Linked DNA regions of Macaca fascicularis. The main gene of each other region encodes a partner of the protein of the gene in region 2 in a complex. Links are inferred from orthologs where the notes say so. Each region holds a gene or a part of one and is shown on either strand. Other genes may lie near its edges.

Region 1 (3,653 bases), on a different chromosome or scaffold from region 2:
GTTCATTCTTGGTCTCCAGTGTCCCTCTGCACAATGTCTGGGGCAGAGCCAGCTTCTGTGAAGGTTTGTCTCATGAATCATATGATAAATGTGCTAAACTATTCTCAGGGGGTGAGTTCTAAATTGGAATCAAATTGGAGGTAGGCGAAAACACCTTGTCATTAAAAATGCAACCTAGAGTACCTGACATTTCTTACTGAGAGGTGGTGGCTGCCTTTCTTTATTGTAGACAAAGAACCCCAGTACCAGATCCTCAGTTCAGATCCCTGTACTGCTACTCACTAGCTTTGGGGAGTTAGATCCCCCACTTTCAATCTGTTTTCTCATGTGTGAAATGGGACAATTCCTAACTCTATAATGCCATGAGTTGGAGTTATAGCTACGCATACAGGTTATTTTCACATACAAAAGTAATGTTATTTGGTTGAGGGCTGAAAAAGACTTTGAAGGTCATATAGTTCGACTCTCAACCTGATGCCTGAATCCTTTTTACAACCCTGCCAAGTAGTTTAGCTGCTGCTAAAACAAGTCCCATGATGGAGAACTACCTCCCAAGATGGCCCATTTTAAATTTGGGCAGTTGACCGATAAGAAGTCTTTCTTCCAAGTCAAAAATCTGTCTATTCATGATCCCTATCATCTGCCTTAAGCAGCCATCAGCCTTCTGCTCTTATGAGTAACAGGGCTGATGACATTGATATACACAGAAAGAAATTACAAAGAAACACTTAACCTGTGACTTGATCAACCAGGATTCGTGAGGTGATGATACGGCCGTATTGCGAGAAAAGCTGCTCCAGTTCCTTCTGGGTCATGGTTTTGGGAAGGCCGCTAACATAGAGGTTAGCATCCCTGATTGAGGCAGAGCTCGGACGGGCATATGAGACCTAGGAAAAGGCAAGAGGAGCTAATTCCATTATAGGCAATCACCCTCAGAGTAGACGCCGAGTCCACAAACAAGATGACAGTCCCTCATCTACCGTTACAACTAATGGTGTCAGTTTAAATCACTCAGTAGTTCAGATTTTTAGCTACTCTTCTAATAGTAATGAGAACCAGGAGAACAACAATAGAGGAACAAGAGGAGAGTTGATGATAACTTAAAACAAATGCACAGATAAGGGTCTCTAAGTGCAGAACAAAATAGCTACTGTATGGCAGCTGTTAAATGCAGAGCTACCCACGCATGGAGTTCTGAAGATTTACCTCCTGGATGTGGGTGTATAGATGATTTACTGTATCCAACACATAATAATCTTTGAATAAACCAAAAAAAAAAAAAACTCATGAAATTCTGCTCTGCACATTTCTCTCCTTGCCACCCTCCCTACCCCCATCCCCTTCTTCCTGAATACATAAAAGCAATCAGGTTTTCTGCAAGATTTTTTTATGTTCCATCCTTTGTGTTGCTCCAGTCTGCTCCCATGAGGTCTGCTCTTCAACGAATGACAAAGTGCTGGTGAAATAGGGCTGAATGAACATCTGCTTGCGAAACTGGATATGTGACCTTGTCGTCACATCTGCAAGGACCAGTTGCCTCTAACTTTGAAGCAGGGCAGATAAAAACCACAACAAACAAAATGGGGGCACGATGGAAAGGAGGGAGGGAAAGGGCAGTAGAGAGAGAGAAGAGAGCCTCACCAATGGTTATAATAAGTTCGACTTTGTAAATTTGTCCTCCCAGATCTCTCAACTGCTTTTTTTCCCCCAAAAAGCTAACACAGAAGTGTAAACAGATCTGAAATTCCATCTGCAAGAAGCCAAATCTGTAGCAGTACACATAAGCAAAGCAAACCCCAGCAGTCATTAATTTTAGACTTTCATTTACTTATTTATTTATTTTTTAAGAAAACAACATCAGACATTTGAAATATAATTTACAGCTAGTCTAACAAAAGCACTTTCCTGCTAAAGCTATTTCTGGGGTGGTTATGGCTCAGAATAGATGATGAAAACAGTCATTTCAGAGCACATCTGACAACGTTGGACAGGAAGAGACCTATATGCCTTAGCATTTTTCAGTTGGAAGTTTTATTTAATCCATATAACTGATTCATAAGACCTATTAAGACTGTAGGGGTGAGAGTGTGTGTGTGTGTGCACATACACACAAAAGCATGTGTGCAAAAGGAATTGAACACGTTAAACCAGACCTTTGACATTAAGACCTAAACCTCCAGCAGTAAAGTGGGCCTTGCTTCTGTGACCTTCAGGGAAGAGAATGGGTCTAGCAAAGAAGATGAAGGATGAGCAGAACCCTCATCCATGGCACTCTCCCCCTTTCCATGACAGACATGCCAGGTCCCTTTATGAGTTCCACACCTAAAAATAGATGTTGACTCAACAGATAAAATGATGTGAGTGACTAATCTGCCTCGCTGGCCTCCTCCTGCTGATGGAGTGAGGCAGCTGCCTTCAGTATCTCCATCTTCTAGAAACTCATAGGTGGGCTGGGAGGCCTCTGGAGGCTCCTTCCCAGCACATGGCTGAGAGGTAGAGGGGCCTTTATACACAGGGTCCCAGTGTGTGCATTTGGGTGTGGGCTGAAGGACTAAGAACCCCATGTGACTGTCTGGACGGGGTTTCACTCCACGGAAGGTTCTCCCACCCCTGTTTTTTAAGGGACCAAGTCTGTCAATAGCAGAACCATTTTTTGAGTAGGAGGAAGAAGTGGTAGGAGAAGGAAATAAAAACATCATAGTGATATGCCCATGGCAATGAGGGTCACCCTTGTTTCACCCTGCCAATTACTGACAAATTAATTATCTGAATGACATTTGTGCTCCCTCAAAACACAACCTACCACTTTTATGCCATTGCTCATACAGACATTTTTTTTTCTACCTACTTCCCCAAGTCCAAATCCTACTCCTCTTCAGGGCTCAGCTCAAATGACATCTTCTCTAGGCAGCTTTCTCTAATCTCACCTTCTCCTAAATAATCTCCCCAGCAGTGCTCTCAATGAACCATGGTACTTAACCTGTTTCAACCTTAACTCATCACCTCTCCATTGAGGCTGATGATCTCTTTAGGTTGTAGGTCTTGTGTGTGTGTGTGTCTTATTCAACTCTGTGGCTCTAGCTCCCAGCACATAGCCTGATACCTATCGAGTATTCAACACCAACTGAAAAAAAAAAAGAATAAACACCCACAGCTCATGGGAAATGATGCTGGCATTACTGGCTCTTTGGAGTTAACTGTAGCTCTAGTAAGGTGGACCGCTGAAGAGTCAGGCACCCAGAATCCCAGCTGTGTTTCTCCACCAAGCTAAGAGCTAAGGGACAAATTTCCCATTTTCTAGTGCCTGGGGTTGGAAGGACTGAAAGAAGATTGTTTTAGGACTAGACATCACATAGAGGCCTTCTCTTAGCAAATATTTCCTCAGGATCTACTGTGAGCCAGGTACAGTGGTATGTGCTGGGAACACAGCAAGAACAAGGCATGGTCTCTTGCTGTAAAGGAACTCCAAGTCCAAAAAGGGCAACAGACAATACACAGGAGGCACTCAATAAAATGTGTTGAACAGAAGAATGGATGAGTAAACACACAGACTAATTATCACAGTGCCACAAGATGTGTGTGTTATGCCAGGGATACGTATGAGTGTGACTGAAACACAGAGGAAGGAGAGATTAATCAAAGGTTAAAAGGGC
Region 2 (3,653 bases):
AAATAGGAGATTGATCACATGAACTATGGATAAGCTATACTGTGGAATTCTATGCAGTTATAAAAAGAATGAGGTCTGTCCATATGTACTAATATACGTGCTGATACAGAAAATGAAAAAAATATAGAACAGCCTGTTCAGTGTGATTCTCTTTGAGCTAAAACACATGTGCACACATGAATACACACAGGCACACATAACCATACATGTAGGCACGCATACATAATATACACACACTTGTGAGTGCACAGAATTTCTAGGAGGTCATACAACAGGAGTAAGAAGGGGTGGGGTATGGCAGCACACGCCTATAATCCCAGCAATTTAGAAGGCTGAGCTGGGTGGGTCATTTGAGTCCAGGAGTTCAAGACCAGCCTGGGTAACATGGCGAAACCCTATCTCTACAAAAATCACAAAAAACTAGGCAGGCGTGGTGGTGCATGCCTGTTGTCCTAGCTACTCGGAAGGCTGAGGCGGGAGAATCCCTTGAGACCCGGAGGCAGAGGTTGCAGTGAGCTGAGATCATGCCACTGTACTCCAGCCTAGGTGACAGAGTCCCTGTAAGAAGATTTCTCAGTTTACATCTTTTTGTGCAATTGCTGACTGTATTTCTTATATGTCTGTATTACAGCTTGGAAGTTGAGTTGGGGAGGCTAACTGGACTACCAGTCCCTGAAGAGCCAAGAAAAGCTGGAGACTTACGTTTTGGTGTCCTTGGCCTCTTTATGCATAATCTCCAAGATCATCTTGCAAGCGGAGGAGCAGCCCTCAGGGGTGGAGTGCACACTGATGGCTTTTTCAGCTGCACCTGCATTCTCCTTCCTATGCACGTCTATCCTGGGGGCCACAAGAACAAGGCTGGTTAGTCGTCCCCAGTGATACCAGTACTTCAGGCTCCCCACCCCCACTACCACTCCTCAGTCAAAGGCATAGAACCTGCTCTTCTTGGAACAAGGCCAATCAAGTTCAAATTTGGGAAGGGCAATGAAAGGACTGGAGAGACATGACCCATCTGTTACTATGGATTCTCTCTCAGACCAGCAATGCCTCAATCCACAGGTGGTTGGTGGCCAGGCACGGTAGCTCATGCCTGTAATTCCAGCACTTTTGGAGGCCAAGGCGAGTGGGTTACTTGAGGCCAGGAGTTCGAGACTAGCCTGGCCAGCATGGTGAAACCCCGTCTCTACTAAAAATACAAAAAAATTAGCTGGGTGTGGTGGTGCACACCTGTAATCCCAGCTACTAAACAGGTTGAGGCACAAGAATTGCTTGAACCTGGGAGGAGGCTGCAGTGAGCTGAGATCACACCACCGTACTCCAGCCTGAGTGACGCAGTGAGACTCTGCCTCAAAAAAATAAAAAATAAATAAATAGATAAATAAATAAGTGGTGGCTGGGGACAAGAACACAGCAGGGGTGGGAATTACACAAATGCAGGGGTGGGAACTACCAGCCCACAGTTCCAAAGCTGCATTTCCACTTGAATTTCGTATGTCCCCCTTGAAACAAATATAAAGAGAGGACACAGTGCCCCAAACTCAAAGTAAATAACAAGAGTTACTATGATAAGGACATAATGTGGCATGTCCTTTGCCACTGAGTACACTGATATGATATAACAATTAGAGAAAAGGCCTGGTGTGGTGGCTCATGCCTTTAATCCCAGCACTATGGGAGGCTGAGGCAGCCGGATCACGAGGTCAGGAGCTCCAGACCAGCCTGACCAACATGGTGAAACCCTGTATCTATTAAAAATACAAAAATTAGCCAGGCATGGTGGCACGTGCCTGTAATCCCAGCTACTCGGAAGGCTGAGGCAGGAGAATGGCATGAACCCGGGAGGCACAGGTTGCCATGAGCCAAGATCACACCACTGTACTCCAGCCTGGGCAACAGAGCGAGACTGTCTCCAAAAAAAAAAAAAGAAAAGAAAAGATTAGAGAAAGAAGGTAACAGTGGCAGAATGGGAGATGGGACACAATTAATGAGGGTCCTAATTTTGGACAGGTTGGCCAGCCCTGTTACCACATTAAGTGGTCATGAAATCACAGAGGACTGAGGAGTGGCTGACTCATCAAAATGAGGTTTGCTTGGAGACTTTTTTATGAAACTGCACGAAAAATTATAGAACCTCTCTTGCTAAAACAAGTGTGTGGCCCAGCACCCCAAGACCCATTCTCCCTCCCTATCTGCCCTCCCTTTCCCAGGAGGCTGGTATTGGAAGCAGTGACCCCTGAATGCTCCAGGCAACATTTCCTAAAAGGTAAATGTTGATGTCCCCAGCATGCTTCCAGGCTTCTAGTGGGCCTCTTTAGGTACCAACCACTGTTCCCTAGCAACCAGCCTCCATTTCCCAAGAGCCAGGACTCACTTGGACTGGGTCTGTTTTGTGATGTTGCGGATGGTGGCCCCCTCCTTGCCAATGATGGCACCCACATACTGGGTGGGCACCAGGAGCCGAAGGGGGATGTCCACTTGCTGCTGCTTGGCTGGGGCCCCCGCTGCCACAGGTGAGCCCTGGCGGGGCTGACCCCGAGAGCCAAAGCCCCCTCGGCGCCCATTCTCAGGTCCCTGTGCTATCTGTTCATCAGGGATGTAGGAGACCTTCAGAGCATGGTTCTCCAACTGGTGGCCATTCAGCTTCATGATGGCTCTGGGGACAGAGTGAGAGTCTACAGTCATTCCAATCCATGCCAATCATACCAGACGCTCTCTTGGCCAAAGCACTCTAGTAAGTTACAGCTTGGAACACACTAAAGAAAAGGAGATAGTCGCCTGCCCACTACTCCCACCTCCATTTTATAGAACTTTCCAGTCTAAATGGCATCAGACTCCAAAGGAAAAGTAAATAAATACAGTGTTCCCTAACTTAGTTGGGATTTAATGTTCACAAAGGCCTTCCACTGGAACCATCAGAGAAATGGGCTTCTAGTCCAACAGAGTATAGGGTTCTGTCAGCCTAAAAAGGAAGAGCAAGCCATAAATCTCAAAGTCCTCCCATGCCAACTGGAGAGCATACCACAGACCTGAAGAGGCTCTGCAAAGCTAACACGTACACTTTCTGGATTGAGGAATCCCTACCACAGGGTGAGGAAACCGACTGCTAACTACTACATTATCCTAACTTTGGAGACAATGAAACCAAGGTCAAAGGAGATTGAGATGTATATATGTAGAATTCAAATGTTAATCCTGCCCTAAAGAAGTGTGGGGTTTATTTTTGTTTTTGAAATAAAATCTTTCAGGCAAAAATTAATATTTCCATAATTAAGATAGAGCAAACACACATTCTTGAGTCCATTATTTAAGCAAATTTATACTATAAATGACTTCCATGAATATTAGAGTTCCTGAATATGATTTGAATGTTTGCCTACAGGCTTATAGGAAGTTTCTGTAGCCTTCTCTTTGTAGAAATTCCAGTTTTTCTAAATTTTTCCTTCCTTCAGGTATTCCATTTTGCATTCTTCATAAAAGGCTGGATCATTGTAGTGAGCAGTTAGACATTCTTTTAATAGAGGATTTTCTTTATGGCATTTTCCTACCATAAGGATTCCAGAGTTCTTGCAACATTTGGTAAAATCTTGAAGTTGTTCAGAACACCTCTCTCTGGCCTTTTCTCTCATTATTTTAGGGATCCAAACATCTTTTTC
Region 3 (3,653 bases), on a different chromosome or scaffold from region 2:
CCTAGCTAGTAAAGTGGTAGAGCCTGCATTAGATAACTGCCTAATGTAATTTGGCTAATGTAGCCAGTTATGTGAAAGCCTGCATTAGGCTCCATGCTCTTAAAAACCAAGACACTACAGTAGCCTTAAAGTCTATCCTTAAGGCCGAGCGTGGTGGCTTACGCCTGTAATCCCAGCACTTTGGGAGGCCAAGGCAGGCGGATCACGAGGTCAGGAGATCGAGACCATCCTCGCTAACATGGTGAAACCCTGTCTCTACTAAAAATAGAAAAAATTAGCCAGGCGTGGTGGCGGACGCCTAGCTACTTGGGAGACTGAGGCAGGAGAATGGTGTGAACCCGGGAGGTGGAACTTCCAGTGAGCCGAGATTGCGCCATTGCACTCTAGCCTGGGCGACAGAGCGAGACTCCGTCTCAAAAAAAAAAAAAAAAACAAAAAAAACAAACCAAAAAAAGGTCTATCCTTAAAAGCCTTAGTTCTGTCCTTAAAGTCAATGCCATGATTTTTACCAAATTGCCCTACTTTATTTATATGTGTTTTTCTTCACTGTTGTTTTGTGAACATTGTGAAAGTGAATGTATATGTGAATTCAGTAAGTACAAATTATTTTAAATATCTTTTTCTCACTTAGAATCTGAAGAAGAAGTAGAGGAACCTGAAGAAAGACAGCAAACACCTGAGGTGGTACCTGATGATTCTGGAACTTTCTATGATCAGGCAGTTGTCAGGTAAGAAAATTTTGTTCACATGTCTGCGGCTGCATAAGAACTTGCATTGTCTAGTCTTTCCCTTTGTTGGAGGGCATTTACATATTCTGAGAATTACCTCAAAATAATAATTTCTTAGAAGAATGGTTTTGTTTCTGGTAATTTTGAGTAAACAAAAATATGTAGCTTATTGTTAATAATAAATTGTACTGTGAAGGCAATCTACTATTGCTTAGTTTAAATAATATCGGTTTCTTTTTGGTTCAATTTTTTCTTGGTGTTAAGTGAAAACTTGCATATTGTTTATCAAGAGTTGGATGTATTGAGGTATTAAATGCTTTGACGGAATATGAAGTGGACAGACACCTATTAGAGATTGGGCATAAATTGATATAAATACCAATATGTGAGTTAAGTAGCAATAAAGAATTTCATTACCTTTGTAAGTGCATCATTGTACCTTTGGGTTTTTTCCCCCCTTGTGATTGGAACAGAAATGTATTTGATAGCAAAAGAAATCCATATTTACTTGTTACCATGTGACACTGAATGTTAATATCAGTGCCTGAAGGGTGTTTTCAAGTGTTTTTCAAGGTGTGATGAACTAATCAGGTTACTCACTTGGATTGCTGGTTGAAAATGAAGATTCATGGTCCCACTGCAAACCTACTGAATTAGACTTTCAGGAGGCAAAACATCTGCAGTTTTGTTTTTGTTCTTTTGAGACAGTCTCGCTCTCTTACCCAGGCTGGAGTGCAGTGGCATGATCTTGGCTGACTGCAACCTCTGCTTCCTGGGTTCAAGCAATCCCCCTGCCTCAGCCTCCTGAGTAGCTAAGACTACAGGCGCATACCACCATGCCTGGCTAATTTTTGTATTTTTGTAGAGATGAGGTTTCGCCATAGCCAGGCTGGTCTGGAACTCCTAATCTCAGGTGATCTGCCCACCTTGGCCTCGCAAAGTGCTAGGATTACAGGTGTGTGCCCAGCCCCTCTGCAGTTTTAACAGCATTCCTGGTTTGATTTATGTGGAATTTTAAGAATTGTATTCTGAATCATAACTAATATATTTTCTCCCCCAAATTCTTTACGTATTTGAAAGTTTTTGTGTGTTTGTGTTAAAAGCCACATATCATAAAATTTGCCATCTTAACCTTTTTTTTGTCTTAACCATTTTTAAGTATAAAGTATAGTAGTGTTAACTGTATAGATACGGTTGTATGACAGATCTCTAGGACTTTTCACCTTACAAATCTTATTGAAGATAACTTCATATACCTTACAAACAGACTGTACCTATTGAATGGCAACTTTCTTTCCCCCCTCCCCCAGCCTATTTTGAGAGTTTTTCTGATGTTGTATGCTAAATGAATTGTAATGATTGTGGGATTCCAGCCATAAAGTGGTTTGGTTCATTTTGATGTCCTGATTCATTTGCTTATCAGAATTTGCCCAAATGGATTCCAGTGAAGTTATTGAGTGGCATTTTAAAAATTACTTTTTAAAAACTCAGATATACAATTCTTAGCTTTTTTTTTTTTTTTTTGAATAGAGGGAGCTAACTCTATGTTCTGGTTTCTGGTTAATAAATGATGGGGAATTTTTTGCGAAATAAATGGTGGCAGAATGATATTTCTCAAATTTTTCCATCAAAGTAATGACATGGAAGAACATTTAGAGGAGCCTGTTGCTGAACCAGAGCCTGATCCTGAACCAGAACCAGAACAAGAACCTGTATCTGAAATCCAAGAGGAAAAGCCTGAGCCAGTATTAGAAGAAACTGCTCCTGAGGATACTCAGAAGAGTTCTTCTCCAGCACCTGCAGACATAGCTCAGACAGTACAGGAAGACTTGAGGGTATGAAACATGTCTTCATTTTTATTCTATTTCTAGTTATTTTTTAAAAAAGAGAAATCTCTGTTCTGTATTGCTGTTCGGTTGACTTTTGTAGATACATTTTCATATTGGTGGTTCATTTCAGGGAAATTTCTTAGATATTGAGCCATGCCTTTGATAAGAGAGAGGTAAGATGTGTATTAGTTTATTTCATCAAAAAAAACCACTCCCTTCCCCTAGGTAACTTGAATGCCTGTTAGACTAGAAAGTTTAGGTGCCACTGTAGCACCGTGTCAGTGATTCCTTATCTTTTTAATATTCAAGCTTTTACACTATAAATTATTACATGCTTGTTACTACAAATTTATAACATCTTTTTAAGGAAAACAACATGGCAGAATATACTTTTTCTATGAAATTTTTTTGAAGATAACTTTATAGTGGAAGTAGGAATGAACTGCTGAAGTAAGATTTCTTTGCTAGTTGGCATACCTGATTTCGGAAGTTTTCAGTTTGTCCTCCTGAGTCTTATTAGGGTGTTGTTAACTGAACTCATGAAACCTTTACATTTGGCACTCTGAGAAGGAATATAATTTTTAGTGCTGTATTGATAGGCTCAGGGTTATGTCATTTGTTTGTTCAACAATTAATTCAAATTCCTGCTGTGTGTTAGGCATTGTTCAAAGTGTAGGTATTGGCAAAACAGATAGGGGTTCTTGCTCTCTGGCAGCTAATAGGTGAGTAGGAAAGAGCAATGTTGAAATGACTTTAGCTTGCAAGTGGAAAAAATTAGCTGGTCATGGTGATGCCTATGTGTGATCCCAGCTGCTTGGGAGGCTGAGGGAGGAGGATTGCTTAGCCTGGGAAGTCAAGGCTGCAGTGAGCTGTGATTATGTCACTGCATTCCAGCTTGGGAGACAGAGTAAGACCTTGTCACAAGAACAAAACAATAAGAAGCAAGTGGGAAAGTAGTTTGACTGGACCAGATGACCACTTAGTTGGTTATTATAGTAAACCTAGTAAGAGAGGATGATGGTTTGAATTAGAGTTGTGGCAGTGGAAATGGAAAAGAAATAATTAGGTAGAATAACAGGTTGTGACAATTTTTAAA

What was found.
Region 1: IGF2BP1 (region 2) and ELAVL4 share a complex: the UniProt entries of both Homo sapiens proteins name them as parts of the TAU mRNP complex. The link is inferred for Macaca fascicularis from reciprocal best matches to the Homo sapiens genes IGF2BP1 and ELAVL4.
Region 3: IGF2BP1 (region 2) and G3BP1 share a complex: the UniProt entries of both Homo sapiens proteins name them as parts of the TAU mRNP complex. The link is inferred for Macaca fascicularis from reciprocal best matches to the Homo sapiens genes IGF2BP1 and G3BP1.

Annotation. Positions count from the first base shown.
Region 1 is NC_088375.1:184,544,710-184,548,362, forward strand, and holds part of ELAVL4 (ELAV-like protein 4), read right to left. Parts: intron 888-3,653; coding exon 734-887; intron 1-733. UniProt on the Homo sapiens protein: RNA-binding protein that is involved in the post-transcriptional regulation of mRNAs. Plays a role in the regulation of mRNA stability, alternative splicing and translation.
Region 2 is NC_088390.1:57,676,058-57,679,710, forward strand, and holds part of IGF2BP1 (insulin-like growth factor 2 mRNA-binding protein 1), read right to left. Parts: exon of another isoform or gene 2,660-3,653; intron 2,654-2,659; coding exon 2,372-2,653; intron 838-2,371; coding exon 703-837; intron 1-702. UniProt on the Homo sapiens protein: RNA-binding factor that recruits target transcripts to cytoplasmic protein-RNA complexes (mRNPs). This transcript 'caging' into mRNPs allows mRNA transport and transient storage.
Region 3 is NC_088380.1:158,647,740-158,651,392, forward strand, and holds part of G3BP1 (ras GTPase-activating protein-binding protein 1), read left to right. Parts: intron 1-631; coding exon 632-728; intron 729-2,361; coding exon 2,362-2,563; intron 2,564-3,653. UniProt on the Homo sapiens protein: Protein involved in various processes, such as stress granule formation and innate immunity. Plays an essential role in stress granule formation.